Drosophila melanogaster: one gene and its partners. Changing the gene in region 3 together with the main gene of any one other region gives a genetic interaction. Each region holds a gene or a part of one and is shown on either strand. Other genes may lie near its edges.

Evidence for each region.
Region 1: of Tbh (region 3) and lola, changing one suppresses a phenotype caused by changing the other (phenotypic suppression), as found in Drosophila melanogaster (one study listed by BioGRID).
Region 2: of Tbh (region 3) and Bacc, changing one suppresses a phenotype caused by changing the other (phenotypic suppression), as found in Drosophila melanogaster (one study listed by BioGRID).

The regions. Positions count from the first base shown.
Region 1 is NT_033778.4:10,539,782-10,544,958, reverse strand, and holds the start of lola (longitudinals lacking), read left to right. Parts: upstream 1-1,667; 5' UTR 1,668-2,054; intron 2,055-2,963; exon of another isoform or gene 2,964-3,118; intron 3,119-3,185; exon of another isoform or gene 3,186-3,614; intron 3,615-5,177. UniProt on the Drosophila melanogaster protein: Putative transcription factor required for axon growth and guidance in the central and peripheral nervous systems. Repels CNS axons away from the midline by promoting the expression of the midline repellent sli and its receptor robo.
Region 2 is NT_033779.5:2,750,509-2,758,930, forward strand, and holds Bacc (bacchus), read left to right. Parts: upstream 1-1,936; 5' UTR 1,937-2,332; intron 2,333-2,486; exon of another isoform or gene 2,487-2,560; intron 2,561-2,724; exon of another isoform or gene 2,725-2,863; 5' UTR 2,864-2,906; coding exon 2,907-3,152; intron 3,153-5,499; coding exon 5,500-5,662; intron 5,663-5,736; coding exon 5,737-5,786; 3' UTR 5,787-7,412; downstream 7,413-8,422. Other genes in the region: HemK2 (HemK methyltransferase 2), read right to left, coding at 8,042-8,422. UniProt on the Drosophila melanogaster protein: Negatively regulates tyramine beta-hydroxylase tbh and thus the conversion of tyramine (TA) to octopamine (OA).
Region 3 is NC_004354.4:7,993,150-7,999,117, forward strand, and holds the start of Tbh (tyramine beta hydroxylase), read left to right. Parts: upstream 1-2,547; 5' UTR 2,548-2,644; intron 2,645-5,968. UniProt on the Drosophila melanogaster protein: Catalyzes the hydroxylation of tyramine into octopamine, a neurotransmitter involved in ovulation and locomotion. Functions in an amine-mediated Bacc-dependent signaling pathway that negatively regulates acute ethanol sensitivity.

The DNA.
Region 1 (5,177 bases), on a different chromosome or scaffold from region 3:
TTCTTCGTCATTCAAGAGCCAACAACAACAACACAAAAACATTAAAAAATAAACAAAAAGCGTTGAACAAAATTTCCAACTTTTATTGTTAATTTCTTTGAGCGCAGCTTTTTTAAGCTGCTGCGCGGGCGTCGACGCCGACAGCGCTACACTGCAAGAAAATATTAGTAATAGATCGGTCAAAACACTTTTCCAAATCTTACGTTTGCTCTCAAGGCATTGTAATGTGCCAATTGAGTTAGAAATCAGTTAGAAATTATATGCATATTAGCAAAAATGTAGTTTCATAAATGAATTTAAATTCTACATTCCAGTAAAAATATGCTTACTGACTTTAGTTAATCATAACACATATGTATTTCTCACCGTGTAACAGCATTATTGTTGTTCTTGTTTTTCGTGTAATTATGATCTTGTGCTGACTTTTTTATATGTACATGCATGTGTACATATATTTGCTCAAATCAAGTAATCAGTTATATTTAAGCATCAAAATCAAGTTTTGGCAATTGCTAATGCAAGGCGGTGGTAAAAAACGACCAAAGATTTATACGAATGTGTGCCGTGAACATTGACGATTTTATTAGAAAGTAGCAATTGGCAAAACAAACAGATATGCAAAATGGCAAAATGCAAAAAAAAAGAGTGGATCCATAAATTGAAAGTTTAATCTTTTCTTGACACCTTTCTACTTCCCCAGTCGGGAATTTTAATTGCCTCGCAAAAAATAATGACAGGTGTCTGGTGAATTATCTTCTTCAGCGCTAATAGCATTTATTTTATTTGTAGTAAAATTACCTAAATTAGCTTTTTATGTACATTTACAAATTTTAAGTTCTGCATCTGCATGGTGAGATCATTTCAGTTGCCGTGTAAGCTTCTTAAAAAAAACTGTGTATATATGAATGTATATATTCTTTCATATATGTATATGTATATAAATTTATAATCACATAAATATTTATGTACTTATGTAAATATTACATAAATGTATGTACATAAGTATGTTCCTCACTGCTTTGTAATCTCTAAAAATTGTAGAACCTACATTGTAAATTATGTATGACCTTGACATTTCATAATTTTTTAGAAACATTTCCACTTGGTTTATAAGAATTCGTTAAAAATTATGTTATGTATGTACATACACACATTTCTATGTACATATGTACATAGTACATCATGTGGCTTAAATCTCGTATTATGCCATGCTCTCATTATGCTTATTATAACTCTTATACATACAAAAAGTATTATAAAAGTGTTTCCCACAAATTCCACGTTTTATTTGACGATCTAAATACATAGCTTTTTACATAGAACTCCATGTGCCATATTTCCTTATGTGCTAAGCAAAAAAAAAACACATTTTCTTTGCCTTTTCATTTAGCGCGACTTCCTTTTGCCACAACCCCTTCTTCTTCTTTCTTTTCTTCCCCTCAATTCCCGCGCAAAACGCTTTTTTCCAACGAGACAGTTGCAAAAAGCAATCAACTGTATCGTGGAGTGTCCCCATCTCGCTCGCACTCACTTGTTCTAGCGCACGAACGATCTTCGGTTTTTCGAATGCAGCAGAAAGAACAACAAAAGCAAAAACTTCGTGCTCACACACACACGCAAAGCCTATTTCTTTTTTCGACTTTTATTCGAACTTTTTTGCAGCGATTTTTCAGTAACAAACGGCAACTCTCAGGAATAAAATCGTCGTCGCTCCGCTCGTTAAATTCTCGTTGCTTTTCCACCCACATAAAAAATCAGGATAAATTGTTAGTAGTCTAAAAAACAGTGCGGATTGCATAAATTCAAGCGGAGCACCGATTGGAAAAACACCCACGGAAAAAACTATGTGATGTTAAATACGTTTTTGTGTCGAGTGCATAATTTGTTGTAATTAAAGTTCAACTGCAAATGCAAAAAGACGAAATATATAATAATTTATAGGTGTTTGTGAGTGTTTGCGCCCCCTCTCCTGTGCAACGTGTGGGAAAGAGAGAGAGGGAGTGAGAAAGAGGGAACGTGACCGAGTTGCCATGAAAACTCCAATGGAAATTCAGGTGAGCGATTGTCAATCGACGTGATGTTATGCGGGGACCATCATCTCTATACGTTCACCTTTCATATGCACACTGTAGCCGTCGAAAAGATCTGTAGAATTTATGATTTTGCCACAGAAACGACACTCCTCGCATCAATTAGTATTGGTTAGAACATTTGGCATGCGTGTAGAATTTCGCACAGAAATGTTAATTTTCCAGCTGAAAACCCGATGAAACCGTTAAAAATTAAGGTACATATTTAGGTACACATAATTTGTACACCGAAATTAGAGAGAAAACGCGCGGCGATGAAGTCATGCTGGAAGCCAAAAATAAATCAACGCCGATCATAAAAACGTTTGGAGAGTGCACAAAATATAATTTGCGCTTTTTAGTGGGAAATGCATTGCACACACAAGCCGAGACCATCTTTCATCTCCCTCGCACACCCTTAAACAACTGCAACGAGAGATGGAGAGAGGTGTCGGAGTGGGGGAGAGAGAGAGCTTGCTCGGCAACGGTAATTTTACCATTTCGAACATTATGGCTTCGCTTTGCTGCGAAAAAAACAAGCAAAGCTAAAGCAACAACAAAATCTCGCCCCATGGTGGAAAACAAAAACAATACCAATGCGAATGATATTTTCGAACTCCGCCAAATATGTGCAAGCAGAGTTGTCAGCCTCGTTCGTTGTCACTTACAGTATATGAGGTTCTATTGAACAACTTTATTAATTAGTACGTACGACTCACATCTCACTGTCTATGCCAAATACTATTTACCACGTAGAGACCCTAAACAATTTTTGTGATATTCATATTCAATACTTTCTCCAATTATATTTAACATTGTCTTGAGATTAGCAAAAACGTTATCGTGTTTTTATAGACAGGCTTTTCAAGTAGTGTAGTTAGTAAATTTGACGTCCGTTGGAAACGTATTTCCTTCTTCCTTGATGTGGAACTTAAATTAGGTGGCAACCAGATAATGAAAAGCGTGTCCTCCTTCTGCATCATCCTAATTTGTCGATCTTTTGTCGTGAATTGGCAACTCTGTGCGCCAAGCATACAAAAAGCACACGTCTGAAGAGGGGTGGCAAACAGGCGACGTCAACTTATTTTTCGAACTCACACTCTCATTCGCACTCACACTCTTCGGGTTTCGCTTCGGCTTCGTTTCCAACTCTCTCGGCGCTCTTCGGGGTCTCTGCTTATGGGAACCTTTCGTTTTTTCGAGCACCAGCGGAAAGTCGCGTCAGTCGTCAGTTTTTCTTCAGTGGCTTCGCGCGTCCGCAATTTTCAGTGTGTGGTGCGTTGTTGCTGCTGCCTACTCTTTTCTTTCTGCTCTCCACGGCAGCGGGAAAGGAAAATACATACACATGCATACAGGGCCCCATCACATACAGTAAAAATAAATTCAACTTTATTGCTTTTCCCCCCGTCGCGTTATCGTGTGTGTGTGTATTAGTATTATATATATTTTACTATATATATACATATATGGATTGGAAAAGCAACACCAAAATTTGATATGTGCAAAGTTTATTGACGACTACGTGCTGCCTGTGATTCTATTTCGGTGTGTATATAAAATTGATCAATAATGTTTTAAAGTACCGCTTAATAATATACAATAAGAACTTGCATTTGAACTGTACCTGGCAATTATCTGCCTGAGATTGTGTGTGTTTTTGCATATCGAATCGATACTTCCAGTGGTGTTTCTATCGATTTTTCCCTATGCTCACTTCACGGGAGAAAGCTTTTCACCAATGTACGAAAAGAGACAGGCACAGACAGAGCAGGAGAGGGAGAGCTTTCCCACAAAATGCAACGCTGAAGTAAATGACGGGCGGTTTTCATTAATTTTCACACACGCACACACTGCCAGTGGCTCACTTTCCATGCAAATGAGGTCAAGTGTTGCAGTGGGAAATGTTTTCTACAAGTACACGTGTATGTGTGCGCGAGTAGGAAAGTTATATAAGCTTTTCATTACCGATTGCGACGAGGGAAAGCTTGATAAAAAAAACTATGATTAGTAAACACGAAGATTGCCAAGAGCGAGTTCAATTAATTGCTTTCTATTATAAACTCCTACAAAAAAGCACGTTTTTCATTTCGATAGATTCCCAAAGTCTTGGTGGCCGCCATCTTGGTTTTTCCCCCACACATAAAATATTTTGTTCAATGCTAGGCTCTCTCGCTCTTTTGGCTCCCCTTTTCTTTCTCTCCCGCTCATTTTGTCATACTCCCTCGTCAGTTTTTATGTTTGTTCACGAAAAACAAAAACAACAAGCGTGAAATTTTCTCTCTGCACTTTTCACACACACTTAGAAAAGTGGGAGAACCAGACGGCTCAGCATGAGGCAAGGAGGATGATGAGGAAGGGAGAGAGAGAACAGTCGCCACATATTTTTGTTTCCACTTTGTGCTACACTTCTGCTACGCCGCTTTTGTTGTTTTCTTTTCGACACGTTTACACATTTCCATTTTTCATATTTTCGTGTCGCCTAATCTTTTTTATGGGACTGCGCGACGTTGCTAAATTTCACTTGTGACTTTTGCAAAAGTTTCATTTGTTTACATTCTACGCACATGTGCAGAATAATAACAATAATAAATGAGATATAAAAAAGCTTTTGCGCAACAAGTGTAGAAAAGCAAAAACTGTATTTTTCTCTTTGGTTTCTTGCCTTAATTCTTTGTTTACAATTTAAACTTGTACACTTCTTTCAAGTCATCAACTTTTTTTCCTTTTAAAACACCATGACCTTGCATCGAATTTCTGACCTACACACGCACGTGCAAAAAAAGTTTAATATGTGTCGCACTTTTCTATTATCCACTATTCTTAATGTTCTTGTCTTACAGTAAACAGCAAAAATATAGAAAAAATAAAACGAAGGCGGGGAAAAATAATGAGCGGCCGTTATCGCAACCTGCTCTTTGGCCGACTTTTATTTTTGTTAGTTTTGATTTACTTATTCGCTTTGTGGCCATTAGCAAAAAAGTTCATTGAACTTTTCTGCGTTTTATTTTACGGTTTATTGTTGATTATTTTCGGTGGCTCACTTTTTTCACTTTCACTTGAACTGGCCAGTGTATTTAACAAGTTTTTGTGTGGCTATATCCAAATTAT
Region 2 (8,422 bases), on a different chromosome or scaffold from region 3:
GCCTAACAACCCGATTAGAAGAAATCTATTAAGCACCGCATTAAGCTGAAAGAGCGAAAAACTTAATCGCCGTGAATACAAGCTGATGTGTGTGTTTTAGATACACATGCTAGCTGAAGCGTCTGGCTATCGATTGTGTTTGCATTGAGATTTGTTCGCACCTTTATGCTACAGCAAATTAATGACGCAACAACGTGTAAGTGCACTGGGAGAAATTCCTGAGGCAGGTCAGTAACGACAACGGTCGGGGAAAAATCCCTTGCGTTAGTTTCGTGTTCGAAAGGGCCATAAAATTTCCGAATCGACAGATGTTTGGGTTCCGGGAAGCAGGACCATCCATCCATTTCTGCCTGCTTGAGATCCTACCTACCCGGTGGTTGCCTGCATTTGAAACCGTTGTCTAACCTTGAAGTAACTACGGTCGTACCAACCAAGCCGATAACTCGAGAAATTGGCACAGGTTGTCCTCAGGAATCTAGATACCATTGTTCAACACCGAGAGGTGGTCTCACAAGCCCGATGAGCACGACTATTCGTATCGCGAGAGACCCACCAATCTTGGGCCGACGAGCGTCAAGCCACTCGAACGGATACTGAGAGTTCGGCGGACGGAAAGTGAGACAGTGACAGCCAGAGAAGAACGGTAGGCGGCCCATGGAAGCACAGCGAAATGGAGACGCAAATCGGCTTATCAGGCAGCGATGTTCAGGCAAAAAGTCATCGCTGCTCCTCAAATATGTGATAACTGAGTGGACGACGGGCCACGATTACAGGTGTTTACGTTCACCATGCCGCCTCGGTTGGGATGCCGCGGAACATGTTCGCCGGTTTTAATTAGCGATCCGCCTGTCGACAGTCGTCCGCTCGCTCTGTCGTCGACCGTATTATTCAGATTACCAGATATATAGCCTAGGTATTCGTATTTGCCATTGCTTTCGCACGAAAATAGCTGAAAGCGTGAGAGGCTGTCCAATCGAAACTCGACTGTTGGATACCCGGCAAACGATAGTTATTACCCTTTCGTCGATAGGCTACTGGAAATAGCACCAAGAACCTTATGTCTTCCGGTCGAATTCCTCTAGTATTACTTTATGGGTTGTTATTCCGCTCGTTAATGTGCACATTTTGAATGAACTTGAAGATCAACCTCGCAGTGATTGTCCCACTGATAACACAGATTTATAGAGAAGAGCCAGTACAACTCGAGCACGTTGACTACCAGGTGATATGGGCGATATGTTATAGCCTACTCGGCAGTTCCAGTTTCCCATATATTGGGCGATTCCTGAACCCACTGGGTTCGTGCGGCGAACGAAGCCATCACCATCAAATGGTCGAACCACAAGTGCGGGATCAACAGAAAGATTGGCACATGAAAAAAGAGTCAAGGGTGGACCCAATTCGACGAGTGATAGGCATTGGCATTTAAGTCGAAGTCTTTGGTGGGGCCATTAGGACTTAAGGATGTTTAATATTTCTGGAAATTGCCGATTTCGAAAACTAACCCTTAAATGTTTTCGAATCTTATGGGGTTGCAAATTGCTGTTTTCTTGCTATTTCTCCAGTTCTCTAATTCTAGTTTTAAGACGCATAATCCCGGAATAGAGCATTTCCCCGATTGCGTGCATCTAAATAGTTAGAATCTCAAAAATAGCTGCCCGCTTTCCTGGTCCGCGAAAATCACCTGCTTCCCCACACGTTACCAATCAATTGACCCCAATCCGCGACGACATTGCGTCCCACGCTGGTCCACTCTATAAATACGAATACCGTGCTGAATACAACACACAGCACACACATCTGCATCTGCGGCAACAATGCTGCAACACTTCTTCCCATCGGCAACATCCACATCCACTGTTCTGCTCTGTTCTGTTCTGTTCCACCGACGAACGGTCAGAACGCCACAGAGTGACTGCACCACACACACCACACACCACCATCGCCGCTACCAACCCCCAGACCCCGCCCCCAGGCCCACAAGCGCACCACTGGCGCGCGCAATTTTCAAATTTACCGCCAAACGCGCCCACAACCGTACTCACGGAACCCAAGCAGATTTTGTATGGAATTAATCAGGAAACCCACTCAACTTGTCATTTGCGGATCTAGTTTTGATCGCAGCGCCTCGGGAAAAAGCCCAAAATTAAGCGGATACTACCAGCTATAGCCTCGATCAGTCTCTGAACCGATCCGAACAAAGGTATTCAAGTTATAGGCAAAAATGTCTGCAACCGATTTGGCGCAAGAAGAAGCAAGCGGCAATTTCTAGCCATCGAACGGACGGCAAGCTCAGTCTTGTACGAACCGTCGACGGGAGCACATATCGGTGGTTAGCAAACCAAAGGAAAACGGATATTCCATACATCAGTGGGGCCTACGAGTAAATCCTTTTGCCTGCCGTAGCGCCGCCTGATATATGGCACCTCCTAAAGCCTTACTATATAGATACTATATTATCAGAAAATCACCGCAAAATAATATACCAAAAATCCAACGATCGCTCTGCTCTGGGCTGTTGTTGTTGTCTTATCGACTGCGGCTGTACAAATGCCGCGGCGATTTTTTGAGTGTATTGTATGGGCCAATGGCGTGGGAGAGAGAGAGCGAGTGAGCGTCGTAACGATTTCGGGGAGAGCGAAAAAGAGAGCAGCGAGAGCGTTTAAAGAAAGTTACTCTCTCCTCGAGAGGCAGTGCTTAAATAGACGGCCCGCAGCTGAATCGCATTCAGTGTGTTTGTGTGCTTCGTTCGGTGCGGTTCTCTCTGTCTCTCTCTCGCCTTCCCCGAGTATTTTGCGCTGGTTTTTTGTCAACAACAAGACAATCCACAAAACCAACCCGAATTGTTCTCTATATAACGCAGAAACTAAATAGTTCCGGAAAACCTCAAAGAAACCAATTCAAATATGTCGGCTGCTACGGAACAACAGAACAACGGCGATGTGGCCGTGGAGAAGGTGGCGGCAGATGATGTGTCTGCTGTCAAGGACGATCTCAAGGCGAAGGCGGCCGCCGAGGATAAGGCCGCTGCTGCCGATGCCGCCGGCGACGCGGCCGACAACGGTACGTCAAAGGACGGCGAGGATGCCGCCGATGCCGCCGCCGCTGCCCCCGCAAAGGAATCCGTGAAAGGCACCAAGAGGCCAGCAGAAGTGAGTACTGATCTATGTGACTAGGTAGTTGTTTACGCGGTAAAACCAAAAGGAGGCCCCTCTAATGATTCACTCCAAGCCAATATGCCAGTAGCATAGCATTGTTCGAGGAAAAATTCTAGAAATAGATATACACACGTTTTTCGGAACAGCGCACTCTCCCAATGGCTTACATATGCCCCCAAAAGAGAGAGCGTATAGCTGGCTCGGTTGTGCGTTTGTGTTGTTTACGATTAACCAAGATGATTGCGGGTCCGGCAATCAAAGATTATTGTTGTTAGGTTCAAATCGAGGTTAGGAGGGCCGCCGTGCTTATATAGGCGGGGAGTACAGTTAGCCAGGGCCTTTTCTTTGGTGGGGTGGGTAATGTGTTTTTAATAAACCCATAGGTCATTAGCATTGACGTGTCCGCTGAACAGCGTTACCCAGCAATAGATACATTGTGGCATTACGTCTATAACTCATACGCTTGGCCTTATTTATCAGTCGCTGTGGCTACGGGAATTGCAAATGCAAACGCAAACGCAATTCAGCGCGATGCCAATGCACTCTCTCAATGAAAACACACATTGCCGGCCGGTAAATTACTCATGTCATGTTTGGCCACTTTATTTTTGGTTAGTATCGCCAAGAGCACGCGGTATTCGAACAAGTTTTGGGGGCCTGAAGCAGTCGCATTCCATAATCGAGTAGCACATTTCTTGATAAAAATAAAATAGTTCGGCCAGTAAGGCAGATAAATTGGCAAATCAAGCGCTTTTCTCAGACTCAAACTCGAAATAAAAATGTACAGTTTAACGGGAGCGTTCTCTCGCTCTCTCTCTCTCTCCCCGGAGAAAGATAGATACAAATAGAGAGCGCTGCTAACTCTCTCCCTCGTAATTTGTATACACACCGTTTTGTCTGTTTGCGTATGTGCTTACATTTATCTTTCACTTTTTTTTCTGCTCTGCCTTATGCGTATTTATTTTAGTACATAAAACAAGACGGCTAAACAGGGTGTCGCAAAAGTTAGTTGGGTTTCTTCGGGATTCAATTGAATAATGATCATTATCCCATGATCATGAATTAGTTGAGATACGTTTGGCACGGATAATTCTTAGTGGTACAGTAACGAATTGTATAGATTTCAAGAATAGTTTTGAAAATTATTCGTTGGTTTCCATATCTTTCGATTCCAAACAACAGATTAGCTTTTGTCCCTATAAATGTATCTTCACGCTTAGAAAACACAAACTAAAACCTCTAACTAAATCAAGATACATTGATTACCCAGTTATAACACCAGTAATAGTAGGCTTAGTTCTTGCCAATACAGATACACCCTGTTCGTCTTAATCCTCTATTGGCCTTTTCTCGAGTTCTGGGTCTCGTGACTTATGCTGTAAGCGAAGTGAAAAAGGGGGGCGATGGGTGGCCATTAATTTTGCACATTTTTCCACAGTCCGATTGTTTTTCGCTTCTTCCGCTTTGTAACAGTCTGGTAAATAGGGCCCTTGTGTTGCGGCTTCTCTTCGACTTGGGAACGTGACCGCCTATATACTGCCATAAACCATATACCATTATGTGTATCTTGTTGTTGGTTGGTCAGCGGCAAAAGTTAAACCCACGCATGTTGTTGTTTTGCGCCTTTTTCGCTGCCGACGTCGCTGCAGCAGCTGTCGTTCGGATGGCTGTGAGTGAGAGCGAGAGATTCATTCATGCAGTTCAGGTACAGTTTACAGTGCTGCGGATTCAGATGCTCTCTCTCTGGCGCTCTCGCCCGCTCTCTATCTTACAGGGCACGCTTCGTTTCGTATCTCACGGATGCGGATACATATGTCGCTGCCGGCGTCGCTGCTTATTGTTTTTTTTTCCTTCCCCCTTATGTAGTAAATATGTCGCCTTGTACATACGGAGCACAGATGTAATGTAGCGCGGTTGCACTTGTAATCCACTCTCTCACGTACTCTCTCTCCCGCTGTCTCTTTTTGCCGCAGCGAATTACATTGGCGCGCGCATTTTTCAAATGTTTTTTTACGGCGAAAATAACGATTTTCGTCGCTGCTTGTTTTGTGTGCTGAAAATATACATTTTATGACTATGTACACACGCACAGGAAGTTGAGAGGGGTATTGGATGCCCTTGATCAAGGAGATGTGTGGGTTTGAGTTGGGCGCGTAGGACCATTTCGCTCCGTAATTCTCCCTAATATCCTTTAGTTTGTTTCTCAGATTAATATCAAAAATGCATAATTAATAGTGACGGGCCCCTTATTTCTGTTCAATAAACTTGCTTGTAATACAGTAAATCATCAGCGGAACAAAAACCAAAGGAACTCTACTAACTTCTCTTTTTTCGCTTCCAGGCCAAATCCGCAGAATCAAAGAAGGCCAAGAAGGCCGCGGCCGCCGATGGAGATTCCGATGAGGAAGAGGCTCTGGAGGAAATCATCGAGGGCGACAGTGAAATCGAGAGCGACGAGTACGACATCCCCTACGATGGTGAGGAGGATGACATTGAATGTGATGGTGAGTTCACGGAAGCACTTCCCTTTTCCACATCAATCTAATCCCCGGATTTTCCCTTTCCCTTACCCGCGCAGATGATGATGATGATAATGATGACGGTTCCGGCTCGGACGATCAGGCGTAATAATAATGTAGTCAAAAATACAAACAAAAACAAACAAAAATTTAAATTAATAATAAATAAAAGTTACAAGCAAAAACAAAACAAAAAAAATATAATAATAAACCAACAAGCAGAAAATAAACCACAACAAGGAGAAAATGAGGAGGAGGAGGAGAAAAAAACCACAAAAAAATCGCAAAAGTATATAATTTTTATGTTTAAGAAATAATTTTTTATTTCTTACCTTATTTTAATTGTATTTTATGTGTACTTTTTTTATAAAAAACTACAAAACAAACAAAAATTGTAATTGAAGGCATTTTCGTATAAACGCAACCTATACGGAATCCAACAAAAAGTAAACATCCCCACTATATACAAGAACAAAACAAAACCAAAATCTTTCTTTCCTTTATCTCATAAGTCCTAATTTAAACGCCCAGTTGATGCGTAAACCAAGATATACAAAGATTTCAAATGTAGCGTAAACGAAGCCCGCGAATTAAACACAGATACACTACACTCACACACACACACGATATTCAAATTCATTATTAAATTAGACGTTACATTTGTGAATGAATGATCGATCGAAAGAAGCAAAAATACAAAAGTGAACATTTGAAAATGAACATGATTATGAACATGAAAAAGAAACAGCAAATGCAATTAAATACAAAACAAATAAAACATAAAAATTGTATTTAAATAAATCGCAAAAATCATTGAAACCCCATACTCGACAAGCATTCAATGACACTCAAGTTTTAGCTATGGTTTCAAAAATTTCGCGCCCATTGTGGCCACAGTCACCCGAATTTCCCAAACCCAAGGCACTGGGACTTAGTTGGTCTTCGCTTTTGGGGCAAATACAAAAAAAAAAAACAAAAAAAAATGAAAGGAAAACATCGGGAAGTTTGAGTTCTAACCTTCTGTTTCGTTTCAGCATTTAACTATAAACTATGACTAATCTTAAGTACTTATGTCAGTATTAAAGCGAGGGCTTTATTATTCTGTTGATAAGTTGTGCGAGCGAGTCGTTGATAAGCCTAATTCATTTGTAAATTGTAAAAACCAACTCGAGAATCGAAAAACGAGCAAGAAAATAAACTTTTAATGTTACATGTATCTAATTAGTAAGGGCATCCAAACTATTTATACACACACCCCGTACGACGAGTTCTCAATATAAACATATAACGACTGATATTTCAAAACGAATCGTGCCCAGCTGGTCAATCACGGCACTCGACACCGAAACCACCCAACCACCACCATCCTCGAATCTAAACGATTTGTCCCGGAAAGACAGACCAGCCCAACATACACACACAATCCACCCACTGACCCAGATCCAAACTCCAAGAGGCTTAAAGCTGGTAATGCCAACCAGCAACTGAATAATTGAGTGCAATTAAACCAATATGCCCAAGATAAATCATCCGATTTGATAACTGATAAACAATAGCGATATCACAGACAATGTTAAAGAACTATGCATTTTTGTAAATACCAATTACTCATGTATCTGCTCCGTGCGAGAATAACATCTAGTAGCGCGAAAGGGCAAAAAGAGAAAAGAACCACGAATCGAAAACGAGAATAAGAAACAATTTTGAACGATGAAATAAATTATTGTAATTACGTAAAAGCGAAAACCGTACGTACATACCACCCATTTGGCATCTGTTCCGATGCCAATAAAAGTTTGTTTCAATTGCAGTTGGCCATTTTGGGTGGGGCAATCACCTCGCTTCGGTGTTCCCAGGGGTAGTAGTTCTTAGCCAGGAGCATGTACGTATGTAGGTACATAATTCATAGATTGGCCGCCCCTACATTACTCCGATCCATCCCTTCCATATCCCAGTTTTCGTTCGGGGGTTGACGAGCTGGTTCCCACAATCCTCCCTATGAAAGAAATCATATACTAAGGGATGATGGAAAAATTCAATCGGAAATTTCCTTTGATTAAGTACCTTTTTCGGATTGAAAATCGATTAGCCTTAGCAGATGCCTATTAAAAAAACGAATGATGAAATTCCGGGCTCTTCGTTGGGCAAATGAAGTTGAGCTACTTTTATATTCAAATTCAAATATAAGCGCAAAAATTTCTAAAAGTTTAAGAGCTTTTAAGTTTCATAAGCCATTTCTTTCATTTATTTCAACTTTTATTAAAATTATTCTCCATATTATTTAGTATCAAATTTAAGAATAAACGCCTAAAAAAGTTTATCTTTTAATTAAAATACAACTTTAATTTGATGCTATTGCACGAGTCATGATGATGCCAAGTACCTGGTGACCTTCAGTATGCACAAATGCTCGCCAGGAATGCGTCGCTCCATGAACTTAACAGCCCGGAACTGGAGGCCCTCTAAGTATTTGATAATCTCCTCCGGCTTGTTCTCCCGCAGCAGGAGTAGGTAGAGCACGCCTCGAGGCGAAAGAATGTCATCCAATTGCTTGAGTAGAATGTCCGTGACGCGTCGCCCGTCCTGTCCACCAGCCCAGGAGAAAACCAGATTGCGATCCGTTGAGGATTCGCTGTGCGAATCGAACTGTTGCGTCTGCAGCTCCTCGTCACTGGTGACTACATAGGGCGGATTGAAGAGCAGCACGTCCACGGATCGCGGACGCAGTGCATCCGCTAGGCTGCA
Region 3 (5,968 bases):
TTCTTCATCTCTATCTGCTTGCTCTGCCAGTTGGCAAGTTGTGAAAGTGAAATGCGAGACATGCTACCCGAAAATCCTTGAGGCTGCTAGGTATGCGGGGGCCTTTGATGGGGGGGGGGGGTGGTGGCCATTGTCAATGAACCCAAAAGTTATCCCAGCCATGCAAAATATACGCAAACTGCTCAAGCTGTGCACACTCGCAAAAACTATGCATCGCATAGCACACATTTTTGTGTAGTTTTGGCAACATTATGACTATTGAACCATTGAAGACTTTATTTGTTAATGATTATAGTTGTCAGATTTTATTCATTATTATTTATGATTTTGGCCTTGGGATAATCACCAACAAATCGAACTATCTTCGAAATGAATCTCTAAGACAAGCCGAGTATCTATTACGAGTATCTATTTGCAAGATACATTCATTTTGTTACGGATATTTCGTTAATCCATTTATTTATTTATTTCATAGTGCACACACATGGACCAACCCAATTTGAGGTATCGAAGGAATGTCGGGGCCTGTCACTCACCCAATTTGCCCGTTTCTCCGCCAGGTGACACAACATTCTCCGGACGGAATGCAGCCGGATCCGGGAGAGTGCGGCAGGTGCGGCGTGTTTGTTGCGTAAAGCCGCGGGATGTGATGCCAACCAGCCTGGATCCATCTCAATTACCTTGCACTCACACCATTTCACCAATCCAAGTGGCAGGAAGCAGTTCAAGTTTGAGCTGTTCGGCTTGAGGTCTCGCTTATGAAACTACTAACTTGGCCAGAACTTGCCATCGAATTTGGCCCGCATGTGCAGCCCTGTCTGGAAGTTCAAGTTTGAGTGGTTCGCCTTTGAAAGGGGACTTCGATTCGAGTTGCAAGTGGTTCAGAGCTTTTCGCTAAAAGTTGCAGCAATTACAAGATAGATGGGAAAACATACTGCAAATTATTAGTTAAGTGAGTTCTGCGTGTAAGGATAATGTATGAGTTAAAACCATGTTATCTCGTAGAAATAACTTTTGACTCGCTGATGATTTTAATGGATCTAGGAACTTCTTAATGCAATGTTAAAGTTAAGAACTATATACTCAGTTATTGTATTAAATCGTTAGCAGGTAAATACATACATATCTCACTGATTGTCATGCAGGCACAGGAATGCCAGAATATCGAATGTAATAAAGGCCTGGCGAAAAGCGACAGGAGCAAACACATCCATACTCGTTTGCCGAAGCTTCTGTCTGTCTTGTTGTATTTGCCATTAATCAGGCATATCCATTTACATGTGATGAACTTTATCCCTTAACCTGTTTACATGTAAATTACTTGCTGCTCATTTTATGCTTCACGAAGAACTGGCAAACAAACAGATGCGCCATGCACAGCCGTATAAAAAAAAACACACACACACAGAAGTACAGTACGACTTTTGGATCACTAACTATTTGCTCAATTAATATGTCTTGAGTTTTTTATTGAGCTCCTCGAGGATAACAAAATGTGATCTACGTCAGTAAATCATGACTGCTCTTTAAGATAACTAAATTTGTTAAGTTCTACACAGGCAATGCAACCTGTGCATGTGCTGCATTAATAATTGCGATTCGTACAATGAAAATGCCAGCGCTGCAATGCATTTTTCATATTTACCTTGGCCTGGCCGGCCCCAATGCGATGGCACACACTTACGGGTTAAATAATATCAAGCATATGCGAGTGCCATTACATCCTTGTAATTGCCAAAATAATGGGAATTATGCGTATGAGAAAGTCAACGCGGACACACTTCGCCATCCGCCGGACGGATAGTTAATTGAGCTGTTGGCTGTTCGCTGGCTTACAATTCAAATTGTTGCCCTTTGTTGTTGCCTTTTGCTGTTGTTGGCGTCATTAATGCGAGTGTTGGCACTATCGCACGCACCTCTCGCTCGCCCGCCGCCTGCTGTCTCTTTTCGGCGCCAAAGTTTGCTGGTAAACACATTCATAAAGTAAATATGCAAACAATCGCGCACAGCGCATGCTGAACGACTAGTAGAGACTTATAAATAAGGATGAGAAATTAAAAAAAAAAATCTAAAATTAGCTGAAAATTTCCTTGTAAAATATAAATATAAAAATATATATCTTTTTCTTTACCAATCTAAGAAGTGTATAAATGGAAAGGATTCAGCTGGAAGGAATATGCAATTATCACTGTTATTGTGAACTCTGCTGTGCGTGCACACGCACACACGTGTGCCAGTGATGCCCATGTCGATGGCGGCAGACATATGCTAAACGAGCCGAAGCCCCCGCCGCGCGCTTTCTATCGCTCACCCACTAACTTCCGTTTCCCTCTCGCCGCAGCCGAAGCCGAAGCCGAAGTCGAAGCCGAAGGGCGACGATTGCTCGGGTCGGTGGGCCACGTATAAAAGCCGCTGATGGCTGCGCTGTCGCCTGCATTCTGCGTTCGGTTGGCGTAGGACGCGCTTTCCACTTGTTCGTGCTATTCGTTACGCGATTTCTCTGACGAAAGCGTAGAAGCGCGCCAAAAAAAGCGCGCGCAAAAACAAAAAGCCAAGCTAACGGGACAAAAGTCGCGCGCGACTCGTAAGCTTGTTTACTTTGCCATTATAAATCCGGCGGGCGCTTGTTTGTGTTTGTGTTGATGTTGGTAATTCCCTGTGTTACCGCCCCCCCCCTCCTTTTTTTTTATTCAAGCGCTCCTGTGCGCTTTACGTTATTTTCCCCTTTTTTTTAGGTGTTTTTTTTTTGTGTCGTTGTTCAAACAGTGGCCAAGAAATAACAGGAACAAAAGCTAGTAAAACAAACGGGAATTTGCAAAACGGAAGAGTAAAGGAAAAGTGTTGCATTTCCGTCGCTTCGTCAAGTTGGTTTGGTGTTCTTGTCGTCCCTGTTACCGTTAGTCTCTCCATTACCGTTAGCATCTTGGCCCCGGCAAAATGGTAGCAGGTGTTATCCAGAAAAAATTAGCACAGGCCAAACTACCTAAGTGAAATTTGCATTAAAAATAGCTTCAAAATTGTCTTAGTATTCGTATAAGGAAAGTCATCACAAAAGTACTCTTTTATTTATTAAAATATGCTTAAATAAGAAAATAAGATATGCAGTTATATTTGGTAGGTAGTTGAGTTGCTGCCTGTCGATTGTAAGTAGTCATCGTAATAAATGTTCACTGTACGGAACTCCAACGTTAGCACAACTTCAACCAAATCACAAAAAACAGATCGGACAGAAAAAAAATGGGGGGTGGGGCAGGACACGAGAGCTAAAAACCACAAGCGAAATTGCCTGAGGGTAAAAATCCCCAAAATGGCATCATAAAATCATTTAATTGATGATTTAGCGCAGTTCGTGATATCAATATAAAATTCACCATTATCAGCCATGTTAGCACCGCTCCCAGTCAGCCAAGAAAAATGGAATGTTTTCCATTCCATGTTCTTTTTCACAAGCATATTTCAAACAACCGGACGGGGGAAAACACCTGCGTTAAACATTTATGTTTTTAGCACTTTCTGCTGTCAATTTGGCACTCTTCCACTTAACAATGCAAAGTGGGGAAGCTCGTAAAATGTCGGAAACTCCAGCGGAGCAACTGAAAATTAAAAGCACATCTGGAACTCTTTATACGGTGACACAATTTATTTCAAAATATATTTTCCGAAGGACACTAAGCTTTAGTAACCAAAATGGTTTAGTAACCTAAGTGAAAAGCTTATTTTATTGAAAGTGCAGCCAGTTGTGTGATTTTCACTAAACGAAGTCTGGCAACAAGTAATCTGATCAAAAAGTGTGATCGCTCAAAGCCCTAAAGTTTATAAATCGCCCAGAATGGTTGAGCTCTTCCATTTGATAAACCAATCAAAATGGAAATTGCATTCTTTGCTCGTATAACGCAATGAAAAAAGTGCTGCGAATATATACTCGTATAGAACTTTCGAAGTTTTGCTTAAAAAAAAAAAAAACAAAAAAATAGCATAGAATAGACTAGAATAGACGGCATTTAAGTACTTTGGCAAAGTATTTCGGCGTGTGGCGCGGTGCACAGCGAAAGCTGGCTAAAACTTTTGGCACAAAGCGTTTGAGATTTCATTTTAATTCGTTTTCAATTTGGTCTAGCCAACCGCAGGGCAGACTTAATGCCTCGAGGATTGCTTAACTCATGCCCGAGTTGACAGCAAATACGCAGATCCCCCGCAAGGCGATTAAATTTGGCACGGTTTAGGTTTAGGTTAAGGTTTTGGATTCTAGCTTTTGGGTTTTGGGCCTTGGTTACTCAGCTCCATGGGTATTCATTCATGGGCCAAAAGTTCATTCACGTCAGCCAATTTGGCGGATTCATCAGCCACAATACGTTTGACAATACAAATATGTACGATATGAAGCTAATTATATTCATTGGTGCTGCTGCTAGCGTGTCAGCGAATTTATTTCAGATCAACCTCAATAAATATTTGCTTGCCACTTTTGTGATACTATATTTCAGCTAGAAATAATTACTACGGCTTTTGCAAAACATGAATTTGTTTGTAGTATTGTATTTTAATTTAAATTGAGCAAATTAAATTGTCCGTGGCAATTTCAGGCAGCTCGCCTTGTTGTTTGAAATATGCAGGAAACAATTTCAGTGCAGAGAAAATATTTAATTTAAAATATTAAATACTGTGCATAAATCATTAAAGTGTTAAATTTACGTTCATGCCAGCCACACACACACACACATTTTAGACTGGGAAATTCATATTATTATCTCTTTCGGTATAAAAGCATAACATGATTTGCCCTGCCATCCAGGTGCTGATATCCTTTTACTTTTCTTTGAATTCTCCCTTGAGCAGAACCAGCTCGATTTTTATCGACATACGTACAAACATACGTTTAATTGGAAATTTTGAGGTAGCAGGGTGCACAGCACACAAGGCGTTAGAAATTCTTTGTGAAATTTAATCTTACGCAAATAGCAATCTGTTGAAATTGAAATCTGTTATCGGGGAATTCTCGGCAAATTGAATTTCCAAAGAAACGAATGATTCGTGGAGGTTTTTTGTGCGCCACCTTATTATTACTTATGACCCAAAAGTGCAAAGGTGCATTGGGTACACGTTTAATTGCTTTTTATTTGTGAATGCGTTCCTAAAATATCCATTATATAAGCCATGATGCGAAATTACTTGAAAAACATAAACCAGCTTGAATGGAATTCCTTGAGAGAAACTTGTAGATTTCGATATGCAAGTTCCCTAAACGATAAAGTTACACTTTGGCACTTTTACTTTCCCACCAAGAAGTTGGATGACTTGCGAAAGTAAACCGCAAACTGATTAATGCCATTTATGCCCAACGAATCTGGCTTTATGTACCAAGATTGTCAAGGCTGTCAAGGGGGCGTGGTGGGGTGGGGGGTGGAGGGAGGTAGGTAGGCGGAGAAAGCGCCTGAAGTGGGCGGTTGAAAGTGAGTTACACGTCGCCGTTGTGATGCTGGCACGTTGAAAACTTTTTCGGAATAAGTTGAAGGATGTGGCATGTCGTAAAACGAGGCGTGGCTGCAAAGTACGCGGCCACGAAAATTTCCAAAAAAAAATTTTTAATGCACACAGGCACGTGAAAATTGCCCAGCGGCCATTAGAACATCACCACCATCATCATTATTACCGCACATAATTTACCCATCAAACGCCACCCATTACCCATTCCAAACCGATGTTTCCACACAAAACCATCGCGTCGATGTCGCCAGATAAATTTGCCATGTAAATACAATACAATGAACGTGTAAACATTTATTATGTGCTTATAAATTTTGTCGTTGTTGTCCATGCTCAAATCTGTCAATTGTCTGATTTAAATTGTACACGGATTTGTTTTATTATACCCGCTGCTTGAAAATGAACTGGGGTATGATGACTTTCGGCCATTTTGCAATTTAATAAAGTTTATTTGAACTAAGCTGTGGCCATAGATATCATAGAT